Drosophila melanogaster: one gene and its partner. The protein of the gene in region 1 interacts with the protein of each later gene in a pairwise test. Each region holds a gene or a part of one and is shown on either strand. Other genes may lie near its edges.

The links.
Region 2: the proteins of CG17344 (region 1) and Dmtn interact in a two-hybrid assay, tested with the Drosophila melanogaster proteins (one large-scale study listed by BioGRID).

The regions. Positions count from the first base shown.
Region 1 is NT_033779.5:19,098,400-19,104,391, reverse strand, and holds CG17344 (uncharacterized protein), read right to left. Parts: upstream 2,349-5,992; 5' UTR 2,288-2,348; intron 2,225-2,287; coding exon of another isoform or gene 2,042-2,224; 5' UTR 2,005-2,041; coding exon 1,540-2,004; 3' UTR 1,483-1,539; downstream 1-1,482. Other genes in the region: CG43731 (uncharacterized protein), read right to left, coding at 2,042-2,224.
Region 2 is NT_033777.3:6,400,782-6,408,391, reverse strand, and holds the start of Dmtn (dementin), read left to right. Parts: upstream 1-2,496; 5' UTR 2,497-2,843; exon of another isoform or gene 2,844-2,908; 5' UTR 2,909-3,014; intron 3,015-7,610.

The sequences.
Region 1 (5,992 bases):
TCCGGGAAACCGCATGTGCTGGGACCTGCGGATCGCCTTGGTCGAGCCTTCGCCACGTGTCACTAATATCCACTGCATCCCTGACAAAGTGCGTGCACTTTGGAAAAATCCAGTAAGTCGGGAATGACTTATCCCGTTTTTGGTAGAGGTCCAATTTGAAGCGGAACGGAAAATCTAAGGTATTCTTAGTATAATATATTATTATAATATCAGTATGATATCTTAAACACCTTAACCAACCTGAACTTTAATCATGATTAAATCTGGGCACATTTCAAGGGAAAGGATTGGAGTTCTGGTTGACTACACACTTCATGAAACTGGAAGTTTTAGTAATGTTGAATCTTGTTTCTAACCTTCATGTTTCATTTACTGCTCTTTTGTTGCAGTGTAGTTGTGTACTTTTCTCGCAGTGTAGCTGGGCTGGGCTTAGCTGGTGTAGCATGGCAGTTCGTCGGTGTCCCAAAGGACTCGAGTGACGTGTGCCGGGCGATGTGCAAAACGAGCAGAAAAATTGAATTATGCGCTTGCGGTGCTTCTTTCGAACCCATGGAACCCCTGGAACCCCTGAAAACCCTGGAGCTGCCTCTGCCTTTAGAGCCTGCCCTACCCCGAAGCCAAAGTCCGCCCATCACCCCGCCCATCACTCGTTTCGGGCAATCGACAAATATTTTGTTATTTGCACATAAACATATTTATCGAGTTTGGGTTTGGTTTTCCTTTCGCTTGTTTCAAGTGCGTACGCGCACCAGAAAAGCGAAGAAATGGGAAAACTGCGGGGAGGGTGTGGTGGAGGGAGAGGGGGAAGGGGTGAAGGGTACGACTGTACCCACGGGTGTTTTGTTTCACCCGTTCGCCCGTCAAAAATTGTGTAAATATGTTTATCATTTCCACTTGCCCGGCGCACTTAGTGCTCGGCAAACAGACGATCCACCCCGCTGCCAGGACCTCGTTGTCCTTGTGTCCTGTGTGTGACTGGAATTCTTCCCAACGCACTTGTCGCTCAACCGCCGGCCGCGTGTCCTTCGTTAGCAGTTCTTGTGTGGCTTTCCTATTAACGTGCCTACAGCCCGAACCACCCCCTAAAACCCCCCACCACTCCAAGTCCTTCTAAGCGTATCCGTTTTCGGTTTGTTCCCCCTTCCTTCCTTCCCTCTTTCCTTCCTTCCCCGCGTTTCCGGAATGGGTTCCGGCAATTGTTGCCTTTGGCTTATGTAATTTGTCATAATGTCAACAGGCGCAGATCACGCAGTACAAGCAAACACTTCACTCGAGAACTGATTGTCCATTGAAAAGGCTGAACGAAGTTTGGCAAGCCCATCATTTGTAGTCGAAAAAGTGATTAAGTAGATGACTTTTTAAAAGAGCTCAATTCGCTTTGAAGATATTGGTATGTTTTGTGGACTGGATTTGCCGGAGGTCAATATTTTTATAACTCAAAAAAATATATTAAATGGAATAATAAATCTGTATGCTGCAAATGGGGATTGAATAATTATTTTTATTGTGGTTTATATATTTTAAATGTGTAAGAAGTGATCACATGTAGCTGTATGCAATTAGATAGATCACTGGTCCATTTGCGCCTCTGATTAAATGCATCTCGCTGGCCAGCAATTCCCGCAACTCCCCATGAACGGTCTGGATGTCCTCCTCAGTGGCTCCACTATGGATGGGCACGTAGATCTCCCAGAGGAAGTCCGCTGGCGGATACGCGTAGGGATTTTGTCTGCTGGCATACGAACTACTTTGCGAAAGGAGCTCGTAACCAGGCACCGTTCGGTAGCTACTCTCTGTGGTGTAACCTGAGATTTGGGATTCGGATTCATCCGATTCAGATGGAGATTCCGATGGTAGAGACCATGGTGTCATCGCCAAATCGCTTCTTGCGGCTAATAATCTGATTCCGTTATCCTGGGATCGCGATCTGAGCGGTTGCAGATGCCTTATTCTGCTAGATTCCATACAGATCTCCGAGTGCGTTCCCTTGACCCTGTTCTCCATCTCAATCGGATAAACTCTCTTCTACCACATGCAACTACTATTCCAGTTCGAGATCGTAAAGTTTGGAAAGATTTGATTCCACATCGGCTGGGCAATCGAAGTCTGTGTTGGTGCCATAATCCTCAGTAAAATCGGTTTGAGTATACGAACTGAATGTCTTGTATATCCTGGCCAAATCGCGGCGAAAGGCGTTATAGGCAGTCAAATTGATATCGGACATCTGTGTGAAAAGAAGTATATATACTATATAGAAAAGCTATATTGAAATAATTTATGTCCTCACCTTTTTTTTTTTTTTTGAATTTTGAATTTCGGACCGAAATTGGTGTCCTTGTTATATGTTTAAGGAACGGAATGTAAATGAATTATCGAGTTGAATTTGACAAATATGGTAGGGCTTCCTTGTTTATTATTAGAGCATATATACATATATATGAAAGCTTACTGCATAAATAGAGCTTCCGATGAAAACTAATATCCCATGCAGCTTCTCTATGAGGATCTTGTTATTTTTCCAAAAATAGAGCTGTACAGGAAAAGCAGCTCCCCTGGGTACATCAATATCTTATACCTTCTCGGTGACCCCAATACCATTGGAGTCCGCTGTCTGTGGAGCACACTTTCAGCATTTTTCATTGCGGCAAAAACAAGAATGAAGTCCCGAATGGAAGGTAAAATTGTGGGTCTATCCAAGGCCCCCCGCTCCGCACTCTCCGTCGAAAGTCTGGCAAACAAAAGCAGGCTCAGAGCCAAGTTGAGAAATCAGTTGATTCTGTTATTTTTCCCGGTTATTGTTGGCTTTTCGTTGCCGTCCACTCCGTTCCTCCATGGCGTCCACATAAATCATTTTTTCGCCATTTTTCCGTTTTCGGTTGACGGGGAGTTGGGATAGCAAATGGTAGTGAAATGGTGGAGCCTCCCTGCACATTTCCACCTTCTGCATATTTGATGACTTTCTGGGTCTGCGCTTAGCATCGACGACAGCTTTTTGACTAGCCAACTGCCGGCTGGCTGGTTGGTTGGTTGGCAGGTAAGCCAAGCGACGACCTCCCCACCATTTTCTAACCACCCACCTTCGAATTTTCCTTTTTCTCTTTCCTTTTTTTTTTTTTAGAACTTTGATGCTCCCCCTTGAAGAGCTTTCTTTTCTTTTCTTTTTTTGTGGGGGGTTGAAGGCGAATGTTCAAGTTATGTTAAGTAAATAATGGGGCGTTCATATGACGCGGCAAACAGGGGAGGCGTGGGGCGTTTTTTACTTCGGCAGGAGGGTGTACACAGTCATGTGTGTTTTTGGAGCCAACTGTTTACTTTTATATTTCTTCGCTGCTAATAAAATAAAATAGGAATTTCGCTTCGTAAAAAGAAACGGCACACAAATGGTTGGGGACGTCAGCTGAGAATAGAAAGACATCTGGGACTGGCTTTGTTAAGGCGCCATTCAGGTTGGTTTTAAGCCATATATGTGAAATCTAAGACAATTATTGTACGAAACTGGAAGTAGTATGTTTCAAGAAATTCTACCTTAAAGCCCAATTTGTGGGAGAATCATGTTGTAGCTATGAATCACATATATGTACATGTATAAAACTGAATTAGCTTTGTTAAGGAATATAAAGGTGGGATTTAAGGAATGTCTTGTATTAAATATTTTACAAAATTATGAAATTATCATTGCTTTAAAATTCAATGAGTGTGAAAATGAAATTGTATCTTAGAATGCTATACAAGTTCTTTATAGGCTTGGAAACGGTACTAATTTTTACCTGTAACTTCTTATATGAAAAGTATACAAGATTAAACATAAAATAAACTTTAAAAATAAAATAAAAGCAGTAAAATTTTTGAAATCCTAGGAAGTCCTAACATATAAATGTATTTCCCATTTTTTATAAAAGTGAATATTCCTTGTGTTAGTTGCGTTTTATTTTTATTATTGATTCATAAATACACATCTTTTTAAAATATTTTGTACGCTTAAAGATGTTAAGTGGATTTGAGGACTGGAATATAAAACTTGAAGTAATATTTATTTATTTAGTCTAACATTTATTTGGTTTCCACTTACCACGACGCACAAGTTTTGTGTATTTCGCAAAGTAAGAACTTTTTTCGCTGCTTTGAAGTAAACAAGTGGAATGTATAAAAACTTTTCGCAGCTCTCTTCATACATAGGGATGTATATTTTTCTATATATATATATCTATATATATATATGTAGGGTATACTAGATAGACCCCCCCTTGAGTGTGTTTGTGGAGTGCCTGTGGCGGGCAACAAGACAGCATTGCGTTGTTGCAATATGCCGTATGTAACTGAAGTGAACTGAATATTTTTTGTTTGTGCAGCACACTTTAGGAGCCCCATTTCCACGTTCTCCCCACCACCACCCCCCCCCCCCCTTCCGTGAAAAACAGCAGCCACTCCCCGTTTGGCAGCTGGCAAAAGCTGTCTCAGTCCTGCTCTGGCTTCTATAAAAAACAATATCCCGCAGCGAACTTTATTAAATTACACGATTTTGACAGTTAAGCAACAGCCAGCCCCTCCGAAATGTACACGCTTTCCACTTTCCACTCCCCCCCCTCCCCCCACCCTCCTGCGGAAATCATAATTTTTCTTATTTTATGTAATACGCTCGAAGCTGCCAACAACCCGGAGAATCCCGGAGTAACATCCTTGATGCCCTACCCCATCCATCGCAGAACTCTGTAGCAACGTGTTGGGGTTCAGGAGCTTTCTGGTATTCCTGAGGGGCCGGTTTAGGCAAATACGAGTCGAAAACGCTGGCAATAACAAAGTGCGCAGAGATACAAATTCCTATTTTATTTAATTGTCAAAACCTTGCAGAGAGTTTTATGACTTCATCATGTTAAATACAAAGGGCTTGGTACTCGACTTGGTTTAGAATTCTTACATTTGGTATGATTTTAAAATAATACTAGAAAATGTTCCTTTTTGTAATGACAAAATTGCCTTTCGATTAAAACAAACTATAGTTACATTAACAACAAGAAGTACACCTATAGTGCAATCTCTAAACTATCAGATACCCGCTACTCTGTCAACTTTCTAGCTTTTATACTTTTGTTTACCCTATGAATATCGTATATAGAAGTTTAGTTAAAAATTTCACTGTAATAAATAAGAATGTAACATTTAGATAGAGTATTTCGACATTTGGCTTGGCAACTCTGGATAACCTCCGGGGCGCTTTTTATTTTTAACGCAATCCAAAATCCTGGCAATACCAACCGGGTTGGTGGAACATTTTCGTGGTCTTAGCCCCTGGGGCTGTTATCAATTCAAGGCGGGCGGGAGGTAGTACCCATGGTAGCCGACTTGGATACCTACTACTTGGTGGTTTTATCATTCCGCAATTAGCGCACCCATGTTCGCTCCCGCTTATCATCGTCTCCGGACTCTGGAGCAGTAGCTTCGCGTTTGGGGGATATCTATTTGCTGCTGGGTGTAAATATTTGAACGGCATTTCAGTCGATACCTTGAACATTGATAAGGCGTGCGCGGCGGTATCTAAGTATCTGGGTATCTGTGTATCTATAAATACGCAACTTGTGCACTCTTCTCGTTTTCTATTTCGATGTGCCCCGCTTGTAGCTTCTTGGGAGCCCCGTGTTCCTGCGGTTATCGTCGTCTGGTACAAGATTTGCCCATTGAGGAGGCAACACGGTTGTCGACACTCTGTTTCATCGGTTACAAGGTGGGCACCTCCGGCTCAGGTAAAAATAAAAAAAGATATAAAACAACACACACCGAATGTACCTGCATCAGTTGATAAGACCAAACACCAAACATGAAACAGAAACTGTGTTCCGAATGAAGTACGAGTATATGTTGGTTTGCTTGCCAATATGTTGGTGCTGAGGGAAGGAAGTGATTTTTATGGTTTTATTGGTAAGAGGAAGCCCTCAGAGTTTACCTCGGCAGCGTTAAATGAGGCCTATTAACATGAATCCGGCGGATAATGCACACA
Region 2 (7,610 bases), on another chromosome or scaffold:
GTTTATTCATTAGCAACCCATTTCTCATCATAATTCAGTCAGTACATGAGCATTTTAGTTGAAAACCTTGTTACTAATCATATTAGTAGACAAAATGAGAAATCATTTTTAACCAGTTTAATCATTTAAAAACAACAATGTTTACAACATTCTGACAAACTAAGATCTTATATTTATTAATTTGACACAAAGTTACGTTGTGACCGTGTCAAAAAAATTTTTACGTTGTTTAAAATCTGCAAAATCTGTTCTAAACACTGCGTTTAATACTTGTGAGCTTGAAGCAAATAAACATAGTTGTCAAACGACTGCTTATAAAATATCCACTTTAAATTTATAGCCCTTATATGACACTTGTCTAAGGGCGAGCGCCCACTGTCTTCCCACACGTTATAATTAACTGGCCCAGATTGCGGAGTATCCGGCACATGGGAAACCGATAAATAAATACGTTTGACTTTTCACAACGTCTGAGTATAATATTACACTTCCGCTCTTATCGGAGAGGCAAACAGTAGGACCAGTGAACACACCGCCGTTAATATTACACATTTTCAGAAGAGTTCTTCGCTGATTTAAGTTCTTATTTCGCGTTCGGTTTAAAATATATTACTCACATTTCGCGCACTCAGCGCTCTGCTTCTTCTCCCTCTCTCTTTGCGCTTTGTCAATTGATTAGCCGTTAGCCGACGCCTCTCTCTCACTGCTCTCTTTAAAGGTTCTTGGTTTCTGTTTTACTCCATTCGATCTTGTTGTTGTTGTTGTGGGTTTTGGTTGTTTGGTGTTGGTTGCATTCCAGTTTAGAAGATGGGGAAGACGAAGACGTTTGAAACCGCAGTACTCTGATTAAGCAATATGATTAACCTTTGTTGTATTTCGCATTTACTATGTAATATAAATTTCGTTGTCAAGCGCTGCAAGAAACACGGAGATATACAAGATTACGTTTGACACTTTAGATTAGCTTTTATTCTTTTTCATACACAATTGTATGCACACTAACACACGCGTGTAAAAAACTCGCGACGGCTGCTGCTGCTCTTCTTCTTGCTCCTCCACCTCTTCTTATTTTTCAAGCAGCAGCCTCTTTTTCATCGTCGCTTTCGCTCTGCTCTTCGCTTCGTATATTTCATACAATTTTCTTTGTTGCAATTTAGGCATTTGTTTTAGCACACATGCACACTAAACACAGGCACGAACACACAGAGGTATTCACAGCAAATTACATTTTGCAGCTCTTTCACGCCATACTGATTTGCCGCCTCGCTCTGGCTCACACACTCACACTCTGGCTACTCACGTAATTTAGCTAACTTTTCGTATTCTTCCTTTGCAGCCAAATCTCACAATTGGATCACTTCGATTCGCTGCGAGAACAAGCACGAGTATTGTATTGTATAATTAAGAATTTTTCTCCGATTTGCTACGACCCCAAAATGTTTCAGTACACACATACACCACACACACACGCGCGCGACGAGGAAGACGACGCAACGACACGTCCGTTATGTTCCAGCGAAAGAAAGAAACAAAAACACAAAAGGGAAACGGAGAATCCCTAACGGGTGGCGGAAAAATGCCTAACGCTAAAATGGAATCGAATATTCGATTGTTCACCACGATTTAATGGTGTGATTTTTCTCAAAATTGCGTTACTTGAGAAATAATTCAAAGCGATTAAAAAATAAAAGCATAAAATTGTGGAAGACATTGGTAAGTCCATGCAAAATTGATCGCTGAATGCATTTCTCTTTTCTGGACTTCTTACTATCTTTAACGGGATACATGCAATCTATTTGCAGATTTTTTAAATTTTTACATGATACATATGAATATTTTTGAGCTATTTAATTCAGAAATTAGCGACGTAAGGGCGTAAAATAAACACACATACGAAAGCAATTTACGCATTGACCATTCCGTTACTTAGTTTTAACATATGCCTGATATCAGGATATTCCATTGATTCGAATTGGCTTTGGTCCACTGTCCGCTAAACAATATTCAGTGTGCCCATTCCGCGATTGTATCCATTAGTGTGAACAACTCGTGATCGAAAGTGGACCCATAAGCATAAATTAGCGTTAATCATAGACTCAAATTGAAATATATATATTTAACACTTTCTTGCTTTAAAGACCGTGCTTTATTTATTCCAACTTACAAGTTATTTTTCCTTTTATTTTTAAGTTCTAAATTTCAAATTATTTCCGTGGTATCAATGGAAATAAAAATTTGTTTAGGTTGTAAACAAAATGCATCGAAAATATCAAACCAAGATAAAAAAGAACTGATAAAGCTGATGTGTACTATGGATGATAGCTTGATTGCTATGAATAAAATATTTATATTATCAATATCAATATTATAATATCAATATGAAAATATGAAAACGGTCTGGCAGCACGGTTCCAAGCCAGCGGGACCGTTTGGCGGTGTGACCAGCTGCTGACACTTTCGGACTCTGGTTTTCTTCGTCAAGAAGGCGTCGACCACACTTACTTTGTGTTGATTTTTAGCGGCGGTTGGTCGTGTGTCGGATAAAGCGGAACGAAGACGAAGGCGAAGAGCAGACGGAGGCGTCAAGTCAAACAAAAGTAAAGTGCAGCAACTGGCAGCGCAGACAAGTCGAAAGGGCAGCCAATTAAATGTAAGAAGCGACGTCCGCTGCTTTACAACAAGTATCGCTGATTGTCCAGCCGAGTAACAGTATTTTTCACGAGGTGCGCAGAGCGAAAGGAAAATCAAAGAGGAAAATCTAATACACAAAAAGTGAAGAGCCAAATTGTTGTTAACAGAGTGTGTGCGTGTGTGTGCTGAGTGCGGCAGTTGTTGTTTTATAGGTGAGAGAGAAAATCGGAAAAAAGGGCGTCGCAGTTTGAAAATTGATGTGTGCATAAAAATCAAGCGCTGCAGCAGCCAAAAAGCGAGAAGAGAGCGCGAGGCAGAGAGCGTGCAAAGCGGTCAGCGAGAGAGCGGGTGGCTGCTGCACCTTCATAACTGTTGTTGCAAAGGTGAGTGCGTGCCGAATATTGTTTTTGGTTCAGAATTGTTTATTTAAGTGTACTCTCAACCAGGCCAACACACTCACAACCACACGCCCGCACGTACCTGCGACCCACGAACGTGTGTGTGCGTGTGTGTTGGCCTGCCTGCTTATTTTTTATGCGGAAAAAACATTGATCCAAACTTTTTCGGGCCTCAAGAACCTCATTTTTGGCTCGCCCCACAAGGCATTAATATCTGTTGTGAACCGAAATGGGTTTAAATAAAAGCTGGTCAGCAGATAAAAGTGAATCCAATATATATGTACGTACATATGTATGTCTGTAGGGAGCCTTTGTTCATTTCAGCTACAAACATCTGAGAAAGAATAAAGTTATTAAGAAATATTTTACTTTGGTAATTACTTAAACAGAACCAGTTTGGCCTCTGCTGTCATATCACCTCGCCAGTTGAATTCGCGCCTCAAAATCGCTGACTTTCCCTGTCATTGCACTTTGATTACCATTTGTTAAAGCCACCGACTCCCCCCGCCCCATCGACAAATGCATGACACAATTAACGTTAATAGCGACTTCAATTCAGTACATAATAGCAGGGAATGCGTCTTGTGGCTTGGCAACAATCACACTTCCCCCTCCTCCAATGCGCCCGTTGATCAATTCACTTAGCTGCACACTTGTGTGTGAGATCGTCTTGGGCAAGTTGGCTTTCTATGGGCTCATCTTCCTGTTTGTTGTCATCATAGTTGGTTGCATTTGTTGTTGTTGTTCGGAGACAGGCACGGTTGAATCCACAACAACACGTTTTTGTCAGCAATTGAATTAAATTCAGCGGGCATGATAAATGTAAGCGGACGGAAAATGAAAAGAATAGGCATTTATAGCGAGGCTATCTCTACACAGAACGAAAAGTATAGGGCTTGTGGAATTTAATAAAGTTTTAAATCAATAAAGCTGGAATATCTTAAATTACTTACTGAAAGTTATTGTGTGATATAATGTGGATAATGTAAATTCCACTTTTGTTCAGTGTAGCTTTCTTGGTCGCTGGTCTCGTTTGCTTGTCAGCTATTTCTGGCACAGTGTTTATATTATTTATTTAATTTCGTGTGCAGATCAGCCTCCTCCCCCCGCTCCCTCGACTAATCTCTTTTGGCCTGTGACAACTGATGATTTTATTTATGATTCTGTGGGATCGCATCGTTCGCATATGCATATTAAAAATTTCAGATAAATATATTTCGTTAGTCCAAATGATTAAACCGCTCTCATTTCTGTTTGCTCATTTGATTTGATTTTCAAAAACGGCCACGAGCATGGAAAAGTATTTGCTTTTGCTCACTTTGTTGCCAACGGCGCCAAAACACTTGAATACCACCCCGCCACCAATGTGAATACATTTTGAGTTTCCGAAAGCCCACAAGAGTGCGAAGACCTAGACTTCGGTCTGCGATGACGTCAAAGAGCAGGTGGCCGGTGGGTGGAGTATAAAAATGCTGGATTATGAGGGAGCAGACTAGGGCATTGTACTTGCTATCTAGCCAGAGGGGTATCAAAAAGGCGATTAGCATGATACAAAATACTGAAAATCACGGCATTCATTTTAATCGAAATAAACGAAATCTTTTATTTAATTCCTGTTGATATAGGGAAGTAATAGTATTCGGACCAGATAAATAATGTAAACACTAATACTGAGTATTCATTTTATTGTTTTCTTTTCTTTTAATTAAAGTGTTAATCTGAACTTATGCTCTTTTGGGAAGTGAAATTAACAATAATACAATATTCCCCTTCTGTAAAGTAATTAATTTCCACCATGATCTTTCGCATTTCGTAATTACCACTTTTCTTTATGCTGAAGCGGCTTGACTGTCAATCACTCAATGACTGATCAATTCGGCTTTAGCCATTTGTTATCCACATAAATGGGCTTTCTCTTTTCCCGCTTCCCCGTCAATTCCCACAGCCGAGATCGAAAACAGTTTTCAACAAACTTTGCGATAAATTACTTTCGGATTCGACCGAGTCCCAGTTTTTGAGACTTCCCAAATCCATTAATCTCCGAATTTTGTGCATTATGCAATACAATCGAAGCATAAAAAAGAGCACGAAAGCACGCAAATTATTTGCATATTTAATTAAGTTTGTTTGATGGGCAAAGGCAACCGCAAAATAAGCAGAGTTAAATGGTGCTGCTGGCTTTTATTTTGTTCTTGAAATTCCCGCGAACCGAACCGATTCCAACCGATTCGATTCGATTTGTTTTTCTGTTCTGTTTATTATCTGCTGTTTTATTGTCTTGGGCGTGTGCCCAAAAGAGAGAGACGCAAAGAGAGAGTGAGAGAGAGAGAGGGAGTGAGGGGAAAGGGAGGCATGTGTGAACCGGCTCTTCGCAAATGGCTTCTGTCCTGGCAACAAGCGACGCTCCCAAACGAAATGTTTCACTAGAGCCCTTCGCCGCTGGTCAGTAATTCAAAATTCACCCCAGAGATAACCCAAAACAATCGCATTTCCGCCTGTGAAGACATTTAATCAGCAAATAATGTACTGTTTTTGAAAAATACATGGTACTCTTACTACCTGAGGTCACCAAATCTTGATTAGATTCGTCTGCGAACTTTTTCCCACTCCCGTACTAATCGGGCTGATTAGGTTTATTAATCATAATTGACTTATAAAGGAATGTTCAATTTGTTCCCCAATGTTTCCTTACTTAGCACAGACCATTGAAACGCTAAGTTCTCAGCGGAACTCTGCAGAAATGGGCGAGGGAGTGCCACAAAAATGGAATTTCTTTCGCAGATTAGAGTTCAGTTACCAAGGTGAGCCTCGGATTATGGCTTTGCCAGGCTAGCTGATGATGTCAGGCATGCTAATTTAGATTAAACGCTTATATCCCATACCTTTGGCTAGACTTCAGTTTCTATGTAGGTTATTCATCAAATTCTTCTGATTTGGTGCCATATACCTAACACTTAGGTAGCAAATCTTCTCGGAAACGATTAGATACACTTAAAAAGATTTCGATAGATATATATAGAGATGTCTCTAGACATTTCTGGTTTCTGGGAAAAGTGTTTTAGCAAAGGAGCGTATCTGTTTGGCAGTGACTCATCCACTACAAATATGCTCGACCAGATGACCAAATATGACAATGACCTTATAAGTTCAACTAAACTATAGCTTTTGTTCGTTATTTTTGCCGTTGCCGCTCTGGTGGCCCCTACACATAAGTTTCAACCACTTCCGTTGTGAAAATTTACACATAAATTGTTAAATTGTTTTGCACAAACAAAAAGAGAGTAACGACAATAGAAATGGCAGTTTTCACTTTCACCTTTTCAGTTTGCCGCTGATGGCGGTGCAAAAGTGGGAAAATGATGGAAAATGGAAGGGGTTGAGGACTTGTCAATCAATAATTTAATATTTGTTTGACGAGGCGACAACAATTCGCAGGAAACTGAGCATCGCACCCAAGCGATGGATGGAAAGCGGCATAAATGTGGTTTTGATGACTAAGGTGCGTCGAGTATCAGCGCTGCTCAATTGAATTGTTAAAGTAAAATAAAAATAAATATATAGTGAAAACATGGCTAAGCCCATTCTCTATAAACATACCAAACTTGATGATAATATCTCAATTTTTGCAGTGTCACAAGTAAAAGGTAATTATTCAATTAGAATTAAGAAAACACGGCATAGTTGGGCACTGCTAAAGCGATTATGAAATTCGAGGGGCTTTTTTTTTTTTTTGCTAAAATGCACATATTTATGTACATATGTATGTATGTACATGCTGCCCCTTTTTGGTTGTAGTGTACACATTCGGTTCTGAACAATTTAAATTCATCAACCGAATGCGATTTGGCATCAGCGACAGGCAAACGTGAATCATTCCGCTTTGGGACTTGAAAAGTGGGTGGGGATTGAAGCCCCCGCTCACCTCATGCTGTTCTGCTCCAATCTGGCTCCTTCGAAAACGTGTTCCGATCTGTTTTCTTTGTGAGTTTTCGTTTTGGATTTTGGTTTTGGCTTACGTACACACCACTCGACAAAAACAATGGCCAAATATAATTTTGCATTTGTGTGTATGCCGCCAAGTTAGCAGCGTGCGTTGTGTTTTCTTTTCCTTTCCTTTCCGGTTTTCTCGGTTTTCATGGGTTTGTATTTCAAGCACGCCACTCGCAGCGTCTCATTTGTTTATAGCATTTATTTATTTGCTTTATTTGTTCATATTTGCATTTCAGTCATGCGAGTTTTTGCTGACGACGACGCTCGCTCGTCGGTCAATTCATTGAACATTCAGTGTAAAAATGTTAAGCAGGTTGATCTTTGTCCGAATATTCGATGAGTAATATCAACATATCAACAACAGCTGAACACGACAGTCTGAGCTGTGACAAAATTCTACACAATGCGATGAATCGGAAGACACGTGGAAAATTGGTTGCGGGAAAAGCTTAATCATTTCGGGTTTATTTATAAAGGATCAAAATGATTCTAGCGAAAGCAGACGAGTATGTCACTAAGTCTCATATAGCTCAGAAATTGGTCGCAAGTATTTTTCCCGGAATAATCAGTGCTAATCAGTTTAATATCTGC